Macaca mulatta: one gene and its partners. The protein of the gene in region 1 interacts with the protein of each later gene in a biochemical or structural test. Links are inferred from orthologs where the notes say so. Each region holds a gene or a part of one and is shown in the gene's direction. Other genes may lie near its edges.

Evidence for each region. The genes of interacting proteins can lie anywhere in the genome.
Region 2: the proteins of NPPB (region 1) and NPR2 form a complex in vitro, tested with the Homo sapiens proteins (3 studies listed by BioGRID). The link is inferred for Macaca mulatta from reciprocal best matches to the Homo sapiens genes NPPB and NPR2.
Region 3: the proteins of NPPB (region 1) and NPR1 form a complex in vitro, tested with the Homo sapiens proteins (2 studies listed by BioGRID). The link is inferred for Macaca mulatta from reciprocal best matches to the Homo sapiens genes NPPB and NPR1.

The regions. Positions count from the first base shown.
Region 1 is NC_133406.1:228,871,364-228,876,127, forward strand, and holds NPPB (natriuretic peptides B), read left to right. Parts: upstream 1-1,983; 5' UTR 1,984-2,118; coding exon 2,119-2,244; intron 2,245-2,476; coding exon 2,477-2,732; intron 2,733-3,273; coding exon 3,274-3,290; 3' UTR 3,291-3,484; downstream 3,485-4,764.
Region 2 is NC_133420.1:63,890,907-63,895,757, reverse strand, and holds part of NPR2 (atrial natriuretic peptide receptor 2), read left to right. Parts: intron 1-1,820; coding exon 1,821-1,980; intron 1,981-2,139; coding exon 2,140-2,295; intron 2,296-2,374; coding exon 2,375-2,543; intron 2,544-2,701; coding exon 2,702-2,848; intron 2,849-3,328; coding exon 3,329-3,452; intron 3,453-3,635; coding exon 3,636-3,704; intron 3,705-4,727; coding exon 4,728-4,851. UniProt on the Homo sapiens protein: Receptor for the C-type natriuretic peptide NPPC/CNP hormone. Has guanylate cyclase activity upon binding of its ligand. May play a role in the regulation of skeletal growth.
Region 3 is NC_133406.1:113,345,109-113,349,522, reverse strand, and holds the end of NPR1 (atrial natriuretic peptide receptor 1), read left to right. Parts: intron 1-2,580; coding exon 2,581-2,709; intron 2,710-2,803; coding exon 2,804-3,006; 3' UTR 3,007-3,469; downstream 3,470-4,414. UniProt on the Homo sapiens protein: Receptor for the atrial natriuretic peptide NPPA/ANP and the brain natriuretic peptide NPPB/BNP which are potent vasoactive hormones playing a key role in cardiovascular homeostasis.

The DNA.
Region 1 (4,764 bases):
TCATAGATGACAGGAGTTTCACCTAAGCTTGCTTTCTGTAGAAACACCTTGTGATCACCCTGTCAGTGATTATGAGCTTCAGGTCTGGAATCAGCCTGCCTGGGGTTGGAATCTGGGCTTTGTCATGTGTCAATTGTGTGACTTTTGGAAAGTAGATTAATTCATGAGCACCATTTCCTCGTCTGAAGTGAGGAATAATAACCATGCTTTTCTCACCTCAGGGGCAGATGCTATTTTTTAGGCAAGATTTGCTTAGAGGTCCCAGTTTCTTATTGCTGCCCTTCTCTGCCATAACTCTTCTCCCCTTGTAGACAGCTCCACTCCTCCAGCCTGCTGCTTCTTGACCCCAATTCTCTGGAAGGCGAGTGACATCAGTTGTATGCTTGAGGTGGGTATTTTAGCTGCCATGACTCTTTCCAGGGCAATTTCTCTTCAAAGTCTCATTTCTAATCACAGACAGGAGGCCCAGGACACCTGCTAATGAGAATTAGTTCATGGGTGACCAGATGAAGGAGGCACTGGGAGAGGGGAACTCCCCATATCTCTGGTGTCTCAGCAAATAGATAACCACCATTCCAGCCCTCCTTTTGTTTTCTTTCTTTCTTTCTTTCTTTCTTTCTTTCTTTCTTTCTTTCTTTCTTTCTTTCTTTTTTCTTTCTTTTTCTTTCTTTCTCTCTCTCTCTCTTTCTTTCTCTCTCTCTCTTTATTTCTTTCTTTCTCTCTCTATTTCTTTCTCTCTCTCTTTCTTTCTCTCTCTCTCTCTCTTTCTTTCTCTTTCTTTCTTTTTTCTTTCTTTCTTTTTTTAGTCTTGCTCTGTCACCCAGGTTGGAGTGCAGTGGTGTGATCTCAGCTCACTGCAATCTCTTCTTCCCAGGGTCAAGCGATTCTCCTGCCTCAACCTCCTGAGCAGCTGGGACTACAGGCATGTGCCACGATGCCCAGCTAATTTTTGTATTTTTAGTAGAGACGGGGTTTCACCATGTTAGCCAGGATGGTCTCAATCTCCTGACCTTGTGATCCGCCCGCCTCGGCCTCCCAAAGTGTTGGGATTACAGGCAAGAGCCACCACGCCCAGCCCATACTTTTGTTTTCTATCCTGTGTTGGCTTGGTGGGGGAGAGGAGGTGTTGACACCTGGAGGACACACATATAAAGCATTCCTGGGTGACTTCGTCATCACTGGGCCCTGTCTCTCAAAATTCCAGCGAAATCTGCTCTTCCCTTTAAGGGGTGAAAGAAGGGTCAGCATTCCAGAAGTTCCTGGTCATACCCAGGCTTTTAATGAACTGCCATTGGGGAATCAGCAACCCGTTGCTGTAAGGGCTATAGGATGAGGGGTTGTGAGAGCATAGGGAAGGGTCTCAGAGGTCTCTTGTCCCTGCTCTACGCAGGTCTTTCTGGCCTGAAAATCCTGTCGAAGAGAGCAGCTCTTAAGAGTTTGCTCCAAGTTCCCTTGGGACGATCAGCACCACGGACAGCGGCCAGGGCGCCCTGAGGACCCGCAGGCGAGCAGGGTGCACAGCCGCGAGCAGGTGCTGCGCTACGTGCGGGCCAGGGAACTCGCGCGTGGAGGGAAGGGGAGACACGCCGTGGGTGGCGGGGTGTTGGCCGGGGTTGTTTTCGTTCTGAGTCACCCTGTGCACCCCGCGCTCACGTCGGGCCTCGGAACGCCGGGGTTCTCCCTGCCTTTTCCAGCAACAGTGGGTGGGGAGGCAAGACGCAAGCGCCAACCTAGGACACCCAGGCTTTTGCAGGAAAGGAAGAAGCGGGAGACGTGGACTTGTCTGTGTCTCCAGCGCGTTCCTGCCCCCTGCCCGACCTGGCCCATTTCTATACAAGGTCGGCTCTGCCCGGTCTCCACCTCCCGCGTTGCAGGCGCGGAGGGGATCATTCCCGGGCCCTGATCTCAGCGGTCCGGAATGTGGCTGATAAATCAGAGATAACCCTGCAGGGCAGGGCGGGCGGACACTCAGCTCCAGGATAAAAGGCCACGGTATCCCGAGGAGCCAGGAGGAGCACCCGCAGGCTGAGGGCAGGTGGGAAGCAAACCCGGACACATCGCAGCAGCAGCAGCAACAGCAGCAGCAGCAGCAGCAGCCTCCGCAGTCCCTCCAGACACATGGATCCCCAGACAGCACCTTCCCGGGTGCTCCTGCTTCTGCTCTTCTTGCACCTGGCTCTCCCGGGAGGTCGTTCCCACCCACTGGGCAGTTCGGCCTTGGACTTGGAAACGTCTGGGTTACAGGTGAGAGCGGAGGGCAACTCAGGGGGAATGGACAGCAGCAATGAAAGGGTCCTCACCTGCTGTCCCAAGAGGCCTTCACCTTTCCTTTGGAATTAGTGATAAAGGAATCAGAAAATGGAGAGATTGGCTGCCATGACCCTGTACCCAAGGCAGTCAGTTCACTTGGGTGCTATGAAGGGTAGGTGAGCCCAGGGATGGGTCCCTGAGGCTTGGACTCCCTCATCCATTGCAGGAGCAGCACAACCATTTGCAGGGCAAACTCTCAGAGCTGCAGGTGGAGCAGATATCCCTGGAGCCCCCCCAGGAGAGCCCCCGTCCCACAGGTATCTGGAAGGCCCAGGAGGCAGCCACTGAGGGCATCCGTGGCCACCGCAAAATGGTCCTGTACACCCTGAGGGCACCGCGAAGCCCCAAGATGGTACGAGGGTCTGGCTGCTTTGGGAGGAAGATGGACCGGATCAGCTCCTCCAGCGGCCTGGGCTGCAAAGGTGAGCAACCCCTGCCACCCCGGCCGCCTGCCCCCATTCCAGTGTGTGACACTTTTAGAGTCACTTTGGGGTTTGTTGTCTCTGGGAACCACACTCTTTGAGAAAAGGTCACCTGGACATCACTTCCTCTTGTTAACAGCCTTCAGGGCCAAGGGGTGCCTTTGTGGAATTAGTAAATGTGGGCCTCTTTCATTACCATGCCCGCAACACTTTCTCCTCACCTCCTACCTCTTATCAAACGGGCAGAATCTCCTTTGGGGTCTGTTTATCATTTGGCAGCCCCTCAGTGGTGCAGAAAGAGAACCAAACATCTCCTCCTGGTTTCCTCTAAACTGTCTATAGTCTCAAAGGCAGAGAGCAGGATCACCAGAGCGATGATAATCCCCAATTTACAGATGAGGAAACTGAGGCTCAGAGAGTTGCATTAAGCTTCAAACGTCTGATGACTAACAGGGTGGCAGGTGGTACACGGTGAGGGAAGCTCAGCCCCTGCCTCCATCTCCCACCCTAACCATCATCACCCTCTGTCTTGCCCTGACAGTGCTGAGGCGACATTAAGAGGAAGTCCTGGCTGCAGACACCTGCTTCTGATTCCACAAGGAGCTTTTTCCTCAACCCTGTGGCCATCTTTGAAGTGACTCTATTTTTTTTAAATGTATTTATGTATTTATTTGATTGTTTTATATAAGATGGTTTCTTACCTTTGAGCACAAAATGTCCATGGTGAAATAAAGTCAACATTATAAGCTTTATCTTTTGAAACTGATTTGTCTTGGCGCATTAAAAATAATCCCTAATTTCAAAGAAACCAACCCAACAAAAACCACAAAGCCCTGTGATCTCAAGGCATGGTGGGATGGGGACATGGCCTCAAGGGTAGCGGTAGCAGGCTTTCTTTTCTTTCAGAGTTTTTAATGCTCTGAAATGTTATTAAATATCTCAAGTACTTGAGGCACTTGGGAGAAACTGCTTTTCAAAGCAGGGCAGTTTCTTCCTGGGTGTGGAACGGGTCCTGACATATGTGTGCAACCTGAGGGCATGTGTCCAGCCATTTTCTCCACTCGTCCTTGCTCTGCCTGGAATTCCACCATTAAAGCACTCTCCCTGGGGATTATTGCTTTCAGGTCTCAGCTAAAATGTCAGTGACTGGGGGCAGTGTGTGTGTGTGTGGCTCATCTACATTCCCATTCGGGGGTGAGCCCTCCATCCTGCCCCAAATATCAGCTTTGAAACTCCAATTCCTGGGATCATCCCACAAAAGAGCCTTCAAAACTCCAACCCACAAAGTGAGAGGGGTCTGGTGATCGGCCCAGCTTTCCAGGGTGCTCCTCCCCTGGGGCTGCATCATCTCTTCTTCTCTTTGCCTTAACCAGTGGGGAGGCCATCTCCCCTATGGGTCCCCTTCCTCCACACCCTGCAATCCAGGCCTCCCACAGTGCCGAGTTCCTCTCCTTTCAGATTCCTGGGAAGGGCCTCATGTCATTCCCTTTCTTACAATGCCATTTATAATGCCAGCTCAGCTGAGGGGTAAGGCATCATGAGGTCCACTATTATTATGCCCATTTTCCAAATGGGAAAACAGACCCAGGAAAACCAAGCGTCCTATCCAAGAGCACACAGCAATGAAGCGCTGGTGCTGGGAACTGAGCGGAGATCCAGGTGACTCTCGAGCCTGCGCTCTCCAACTCTTGAGCCCCACGCTCCTGGCCTTGAACTTCACTCTCAAGTCCTTTCTGATGTTCTCATCAGATGTTTCTTTGAATGAGAGGGACCTAGAGGGTGGGCCTTTGTGTTATTTATCATTTTAACCCAGTGTGCATCTGAGGATTTATGGATATCTAATGACATCAATTAAGATTGTTTAGACTGGGCGTGGCGGCTCACGCCTGTGATCCCAGCACTTTGGGAGGCCGAGGCCAGTGGATCACCTGAGGTCAGGAGTTCGAGACTAGCCTGGCCAACACGGTGAAACTTCGTCTCTACTAAAAATACAAAAATTAGCCTGGCATGGTGGTGTGTGCCTGTAATCCCA
Region 2 (4,851 bases), on another chromosome or scaffold:
ATCATCTCTTTTACCTCGAAGAGCTCATAAAATGAGTGGGGTCTCTGAACATATTTATCTCCTATATTTCCTCTCATTATTTTACTCTCTGACCAATATTTGGGCATGTCTGCCCTTTTGTTCAGAAAACTGAAATTTAAAAAAGGAACTTTTACTAGTAGAACTAAGAGAAACCAAGGAAGAGTGTATTAAAAACCTTTGGTACTCTTCTGTTATACTAGGTTTCAGCTATATTCAAATGACTCAGAGGCTCATGGATTTGTGGAACATAAAATAGAATCTTGCATGAGTTGGACAGGTTTTCTGAAATAAGTCTCATAGCCAGTGAGCATCCCAGTGGATCACCCCATGCTGTATTTGAAGCTAGCTTTGGTTTTCTGCTAACTTCTCATGAAATTATTTAAAAAGTATTTTTTTGTGTGTGAAAATTTGCTATCAAGTGAGAGATAAAATATTAGTAAAGCCAATGTCATGCTCAACTAGAGGAGTGATGATAAATATAAGAAAAACACGACTCTTGAGAGAATAGTGATTTGGTGGAAAAGTGATTTACAACAAAGCCAGAAGCCTAATCCTGTGATTTTTGAAGGCATCCTTTGCACAGTTTCCACACAAGTAAATTCACAACTTCAGAGATTCCCAAAAGTTTTGTTGATACCAAAAGAAATAAAAAGGAAGAGTTCATAGAGATTAGAGATTAGACATTAGAGTTATGAATTAAGTCCAGAGCTAAACATTTAGACAAAAATGTTTTTCATTAGCATATTGAACCTTGTATCCTCTTTCTGTCTCACCTGAACGGACTTGGGTGGCTCCTAGGGTTTCATTTTTGGGGAGCATCATTAAGACTTTTTTTTTTTTTTTTTTCCTGAGACTGGGTCTTATTCTGTTGCCCAGGCTACAGTGTAGTGGCTAGATCACTGCTCACTGCAGCCTTGACCTCCTGGGCTCAAGTGATTCTCCCACCTTAGCCTCCTGAGTAGCTGGAACCACAGCGTGTGCTGCCGTGCCCAGCTCAGTTTTGTATTTTTGGTAGAGATGGGGTTTCACCATGTTGCCCAGGCTCGTCTTGAACTGCTGGGCTCAAGCAATCTGCCAGCCTTGGCCTCCCAAAGTGCTGGGTTTACAGGCATGAGCCACTGAGCCCGGCCTTTAAGGCCGTCTTTCAGCTCTTCAGAGGCAAATGTTCTTCCCTCTGTGGACCCACGGAGCCAGCAGTTTTAGGCTTCTGCACTGGCTTAGCAGATTTTGTCCATTTTCCAGGTTTTTCTGATTTATGATGTTCTGTACTTTCTCTCTGATCCAGCATTCCCTCTAGTAGATCTTATTCCTCCTCTACCCGGACTTGCCCACCTACACATGGTTATGCATTTAAGTTTACAACTGGTCTTCCTTGGTATATCCAGCTACTCTTGATACCTGGGTCTCAAGTCATGTCTTTCTAATTAGTAGCCAGGTATCTGAGGCCACCATGGGTGTCATATCATTTTGGTCTTCACCCAAGTTCTGTTCTCTTCACTAATCAAGATTGACTGCCCTTTCCAGGGTAGTCACTGGTAGCTCCACTTATCCATCTTTTTAAGCATTTTCCCTGTCCCTGGTGGCTGGGTGCCTGTGTCCTGCTTATGATACCAGGAAGAGATGACTCTTCTGTTCTTCCTGCTTCCTTGGGTGGAAGCTGCAAAGGATGCCTTCCAAAATCAGCTTATTATTTTTGTGGACCTAAGATCTGTAGACAGCTAGCCAGCGCCCATCTCATGGAGAGAGGGTATTCTAAGCCAGATATGATCTAGTCCCATGACTTGATCTGTACCTTGCAGGGCATGGCCTTTCTCCACAACAGCATTATTTCATCGCATGGGAGTCTCAAGTCCTCCAACTGTGTGGTGGATAGTCGTTTTGTGCTCAAAATCACAGACTATGGCCTGGCCAGCTTCCGATCAACTGCTGAACCTGATGACAGCCATGCCCTCTATGCCAGTGAGGCCCACCCCCACAACCCACTTTATATATTGCTGCTCTTTCCACCTAGGGATGGTGGGAGAGGGAGGTGGAGTGACAGTAATATAGGGATGAGCCCAGGTGGGCTTGGGGGTACCCCATTTTGGGGGACCTGGCCAGCCTGTTTCCTCTTTTCAGAGAAGCTGTGGACTGCCCCAGAACTGCTCAGTGGGAACCCCTTGCCAACCACAGGCATGCAGAAGGCTGATGTCTATAGCTTTGGGATCATCCTGCAGGAGATAGCACTTCGCAGTGGTCCTTTCTACTTGGAGGGCCTGGACCTCAGCCCCAAAGGTAAGAGTCAATCCACTACCCACAGCCTCTTCTTCCTGGGGGAACTCAGTTCCTCATCCAAACCTTTGATCACCCTCAGAGATTGTCCAGAAGGTACGAAATGGTCAGCGGCCATATTTCCGACCAAGCATTGACCGGACCCAGCTGAATGAAGAGCTAGTTTTGCTGATGGAGCGATGTTGGGCTCAGGACCCAGCTGAGCGGCCAGACTTTGGACAGATTAAGGGCTTCATTCGACGCTTTAACAAGTGAGAGGGCATTATAGGGCAGGGGCTTCCCAGGGATAGAAGCCTCATTAGTCCTAGTGCATGAAGTGGGGCAGGTGGGACCAGAGGGTGGGTTGGATAGGAAGTCCTGGGAGTCTTCAGAATCTTAGAGCAAGTGCCATATCCTGGCCTCCCCACAGGGAGGGTGGCACCAGCATATTGGACAATCTCCTGCTGCGCATGGAACAGTATGCCAATAACCTGGAGAAGCTGGTGGAGGAACGCACACAGGCCTATCTGGAGGAAAAACGCAAGGCTGAGGCTCTGCTCTACCAAATTCTACCCCAGTGAGACTTTGTCCCCCTTCCTGAATTTTCCTTTGGGATTCTGCTCTGTTGGGCTCTGCCTCATCAGGCACCTGCGAACTTGCCTCCCGACCCTCAGAACGCTGCTGGCCACAGGGAGTCCCCCTGGCTATAGATTTTTTGCTGTCATTCTGTCTTTGCATCAGCTGTGCTGCCTTCTTACTGGCTTCCCATCCCTTCTTACAACACTGCTCTACCATGCCCTTGCTTCAGCAAGTGTATGTAAAACAGTCCCAACTTGAGACAGCTCCCATGCACAGGGATCTCCTCAAAAGCCCCTGCCACTTGTGCGCCTTACCTTGCATTTGACTGTAATGTCTTCCCAGCCACTTTCCTCCCTCCCACTTGCAAAGCCCAGCTTTCTTGTTTCAGCTCATATCTGCTGCAGCCACATGCACCTTCCCTCTCTCTTCTGCTCCTACTCTCTTGGAGTTTGGCTCACACAGCACCCTTGCTTCCTAGTTCAGTGGCAGAGCAGTTAAAACGGGGAGAGACTGTACAGGCTGAGGCCTTTGACAGTGTTACCATCTACTTCAGTGACATTGTTGGCTTCACAGCATTGTCAGCAGAGAGCACCCCCATGCAGGTGAGAGCCATGGGTGAGAGGTAGCGGGTGGGGTCGGGTGGGTAGGGACCTGGGGAAGCCTCATTGATAACAGGGAAGATGAGTTTGTTCTAGAGTTCCCACATCTTGTGATGGCTCGTGGGTTAAGAATTCTTAGAAAGTTGGGTACAAGTTTCAGGGCCTCTGCTTTTCTATCCCTTTTAGGTAGTGACACTTCTTAATGACCTGTATACCTGCTTTGATGCCATAATTGACAACTTTGATGTCTACAAGGTGAGAGCTGGGGTGGCTCTTCAATAGAAGACTCTTTAATAGAGACCCCCTTTGAAAGCCAGTCTCCCTGAACCCCACACACCTTACCCACCCCATGATCAGCTTTCCCTCCAGGGGTCCCAGCATCCTGGTGCTGGAGTGTACTTTGTAAACAGATGTAGCTCCAGCACTGTCATTGTACACTCCAGTTGAATTTCTTGTGAATCCTTTGGCTTCCCTAATTAGAACCATCATGAGATTTAGCTCCTATCTCCCTGGAGTATAAATGCAGCCAATCCAACATTTCTCTCCAGTCCTCTCCAGACATGGAAGAATCATATAGGATGTGGGTCCAGACTGATTTAGTGGGGTGAGGGAAAATATATTTTAAAAAGTAAAACTTTTTGTTGAAGTCATTGAGTTGGATTTATTGTCCTTGGGAGTAAAAATCATCTGAATTTGAATATTGGCTTGTTACTAACTATGTGGCCTTATAGGTAAGTAACAGAATCACCCTGAGCCTCAGTTGTTTTATCTGTAAGATGGGAATAATAGATTTGTTGTATAGAAAGTGCCTAACATTGTTTGGCATGTGGCAGAACAATGACATTCATTCTCTTACATACCTTTGGTACAATTACCAGCATCAAATGCCTGCTTTCTTCCTGACAGTTTGGGCTGTCTGGTCATTTCATTGGGCCTGCTTTACCTCCTTACCAGCCTCTGTCCTCTTGAGTTTAGCCTGTTGTCTTGCTTCCCATTTCCTGATGGCAGAGCCTATTTGTCCATGTCCTGCTGCAGACAGGGTGTTCATTCATTCAGCAAATGTGTACTGAGTATTCACCAGGTGCTGGGTGGAGAAAGAGGACTTAAAGACTCCCTTGACATCTCGTCTCCCCTAGACTCTCAGGACCATGGCACTTATTTTCTAGTCAATATTCTGGCCTCCAGGATGTCAGGATGATGTCCAGCTTGTCTCCCTCTACTCTTTCCCATCCCCATGGATACAAATAGAGGTGACCTTTTAATCCCCCTCTCAATCAGGTGGAGACGATTGGGGATGCTTACATGGTGGTATCTGGCCTCCCAGGCCGAAATGGTCAACGGCATGCACCAGAAATTGCTCGTATGGCCCTAGCATTACTAGATGCAGTTTCTTCCTTTCGCA
Region 3 (4,414 bases), about 120 Mb from region 1:
AAAACTAGCCAGGCGTGCTGGCAGGCACCTGTAATCCCAGTTACTCGGGAAGCTGAGGCAGGAGAATTGCTTAAACCCGGGAGGCAGAGGTTGCGGTAAGCCAAGATGGCACCATGCACCCCAGCTTGGGCAACAAGAGTGAAACTGTCTGAGAAAAAACCCTCTGCTCCACCTTTGATGTGGTAAAGATGGCTTCAGAGCCAGCATACTTGGCTGTGAATCTCAGCTCCACAGCTGGCTGTGTGTCAGTTTGCTATACCTCTCTGAGCCATGGTTTTCCTCATCTGTAAAATGAGGGGAAAAAATCTACCTCACAGGGGTTATGTGAGAAATCCATAAAAAATGTCTACCACATAATTGTCATTTAACTTTTCCAAGCCTTAGCTGATTATCTGTAAAATGATGTCTATCTCAGGATTGCAAGAAGCCTAGCACAAACCCTGGTACCCAGTAGGCACCTAATAAATTCTTGCTCCCACCCGCCCCTTGCTCTTGCCTCCTGTTTATCTTCCGTCCTCCTACTGTATTCGACATAATTCAATGCAGTAAACATTTATTGAGTGACTACTGAATACCAGGCCCTTGGATAGTAACATGATCCAGACCCAGAGTTAGCTGAGAAATTCACGTGGACCCCATCTAAACCTTATGGTGAAAGAAAGGCTGCTTGGGAGCCAGTTCTGGGAGCCCAGAGGGATCTAGTTCGGCAGATATTCCCTGGGCACTGTTTTGGGAGCTGTCAGAGTAGAGCCCCTTGCTGAGGTCCAGTCCTCAAGGAGCACATTGCCAGAAATTGTTCAACATTCTGGGTGCCGGCGACGCTTGTAATCCCGGCACTTTGGGAGGCCAAGGCAGGCAGATCACTTGAGGCCAGGAATTGGAGACTAGCCTGGCCAACATGGTGAACCTCCTGTCTCTACTAAAAATACAAAACATTAGCCAGGCGTGGTGGCGTGTGCCTGTAATCCCAGCTACTCAGGAGGCTGAGACATGAGAATCACTTGAACCCGGGAGGTGGATGTTGCAGTGATTCGAGATTGCACCCCTGGGCAACAGAGAGAGACTGTCTCAAAAAAAAAAAAAAAAAGAAAGAAAGAAAAGAAAAGAAAAGAAAGAAACTGTTAAACACAACAAGGCCGCTGTGATTGATGCAAACCCCAGAAGTAAGGACGTGAGTTCAGACAGTGGTCAAAGAGAGGGTGTGGCAATATTGGGCCCCACTCCATCACTGACCTCCTCAGCCACTTGGGCAGATCACCCTGGACCTCAGGTCCTCGGCCACAAAATGAGGGTATAATTTATTAAATCGTGAAAGCAACAATTTACATAGTGCTTCCTAGGTAGCACATTCTGTTTGAATACTTTATGGATGTTGAATTTAATCGTCACAACAAGGTTTTGAGATAGGTACTGACACTATCAGCATTTTACAGATTAGGAAAAGGAGCAGAGAGAATTTATATTACATACCCAAGCAAGTATCCAAGCTGAGGTTCATACTGAGGCAGTGCAGGATCCAAATTGCCAGCTCCTAAGCACTATGCTGTGTTGAGCCCAGTGACATTCCAGAGTGCTGTTCAACAGGATGTTCTGCAGTCATGAAAATGCTCTGTATTCTGTGCTGTCCAATGCAGTAGCCTCTAGGCACATGTGGCTACTGATCACTGGAAATGTGACGGGTGCAAATGAGGCCCTGATTTTTTTTTTTTTTTTTTTTTTTGGAGACAGAGTCTCGCTCTGTTGCCCAGGCTGGATGGAGTGCAGTGGTGCAATCTCGGCTCACTGCAACCTCCACCTCCCAGGTTCCAGTGATTCTCCTGCCTCAGCCTCCTGAGTAGCTGGAATTACAGGTGTGAGCCACCACACTCAGCTAATTTTTTTTTTTTTTTTTTGAGATGGAGTCTCACTCTGTCGCCCAGGCTGGAGTGCAGTGGCCGGATCTCAGCTCACTGCAAGCTCCGCCTCCCGGGTTCACGCCATTCTCCTGCCTCAGCCTCCCAAGTAGCTGGGACTACAGGCGCCCACCACCTCGCCCGGCTAGTGTTTTGTATTTTTTAGTAGAGACGGGGTTCCGTGTTAGCCAGGATGGTCTCGATCTCCTGACCTCGTGATCCGCCCATCTCGGCCTCCCAAAGTGCTGGGATTACAGGCTTGAGCCACCGCGCCCGGCCTAATTTTTGTATTTTTAGTAGAGATGGGGTTTCGCCATATTGGCCAGGCTGGTCTTGAACTCCTGGCCTCAAGTGATCCTCCTGCCTCAGCCTCCCAAAGTGCTGGGATTACAGGTGTAAGCCACAGCACCCAGCCTGAATTTTTAACTGTATTTAGTTTAAATTAATTTAAGTTGAAACAGGCACACGTGATTAGTGGCTACTGTATTGGATTACACAGCTCCAGAGTTCTAAGTGAGAGGCTAATGTCACGCACTACATGCAGGGAGTGGGGCCGCTCTGAGCTAGAGAGGGAAAAGAGGGAGAGAGGGTACCTGTCCACCCCCACAGTCCCTGGTCTCTTTTGCCTCTACTTTCCTGCTCTCCTGTCTCACATCGGTCACCTTCCATTCTCCCCTGTCCTACCCAGCCCTGAAGATCCACTTGTCTTCTGAGACCAAGGCTGTCCTGGAGGAGTTTGGTGGTTTCGAGCTGGAGCTTCGAGGAGATGTAGAAATGAAGGTAGAGGGGGAAGCCTCTGTCCTCCCCACCTTTTGGGGTCCTAGAAGGAGTTACCCTTCTCAAGCAGCCAACACCACTCCCATCCCTAAGCCTCTCATCTGACTGGGGAAAGGGCATGTGCCACTCACCAGCCCATCCTCTTCTTTTTCCCTCCAGGGCAAAGGCAAGGTTCGGACCTACTGGCTCCTGGGGGAGCGGGGGAGTAGCACCCGAGGCTGACCTGCCTCCTCTCCTATCCCTCCACACCTCCCTACCCTGTGCCAGAAGCCACAGAGGTGCCAGGCCTCAGCCTCGCCCACAGCAGCCCCATCACCAAAGGATGGAAGTCGTTTGAATAGCTCAGGTGTGCTGACCCCAGTGAAGACACCAGATAGGACCTCTGAGAGGGGACTGGCATGGGGGGATCTCAGCGCTTACAGGCTGAGCCAAGCCCACGGCCATGCACAGGGACACACACACAGGCACATGCACCTGCTCTCCACCTGGACTCAGGCCGGGCTGGGCTGTGGATTCCTGCTCCCCTCCCCTCCCCATGCTCTCCTCCCTCAGCCTTGCTACCCTGTGACTTATTGGGAGGAGAAATAGTCACCTGAAGGGGAACAAGAAAAGAGACTAGGTGAAGTGAGGGCAGGGGAGCCCACATCTGGGCCTGGCCCACAATACCTGATTCCCCGACCCCCTCCACGCAGCCATAGACACAGTGCACAGGGGAGAAGAGGGGTGGCGCAGAAGGGTTGGGGGCCTGTATGCCTTGCTTCTACTGTGAGCAGAGACAATTAAAATCTTTATTCCAGTGACAGTGTCTCTTCTTGAGGGAGAGAGGGTTGCCAGAAAACAGTCAGTTCTCCACTCTCTACTTCAAATAAGACTCTCGCTTCTTGTTCTACAAGGGCCTAGAAGAAGAAGTAAAAAAAGACTCGATTCTTAAGCTGGGAATGCAGGCTCTGAGAGTAGTAACAGCCTATGAATTGCCCAGCAGTGCTGAAACTGGTTTAAGGACCCATTTACACCCTTAAGAATTATTATTATTGGCCGGGCACAGTGGCTCATGCCTGTAATCCCAGCACTTTGGGAGGCTGAGGCGGATGGACCACCTGAGATCAGGAGTTCAAAACCAGCCTGGCCAACATGGTGAAACCCCATCTGTACTAAAAATACAAAAATTAGCTGGGTGTGGTGGCATGTGCCTGTAATCCCAGCTACTCGGGAGGCTGAGGCAGGAGAATCTCTTGAACCCAGGAGGCAGAGGTTGAAGTGAGCTAAGATGGCACTACCGCACTCTAGCCTGGGCAAAAGAGGGAGACTCTGTCTCAAAAAAAAACAAAAAAAACACCAGGCACGGTGACTCACGCCTGTAATCTCAGTACTTTGGGAGGCTGAGGCGGGCAAATCACATGAGATCAGGAGTTTGAGACCAGTCTGACCAACATGGAGAAACCCAGTCTCTACTAAAAATACAAAATTAGTTGCCGGACGCAGTGGCTCACACCTGTAATCCCAGTACTTTGGGAGGCCGAGGCGGGTGGATCACGAGATCAGGAGTTCGAGACCATCCTGGCCAATATAAGGAAACCCTGTCTCTACTAAAAATAGAAAAATTAGCTGGATATGGTGGCCCGTGCCTGTAGTCTGAGCTACTCAGGAGGCTGAGGCAGGAGAATCGCTTGAACCTGGGAGGCAGAGGTTGTGGTAAGCCGAGATCGCGCCATTGCATTCCAGCCTGGGCAACAAGAACGAAACTC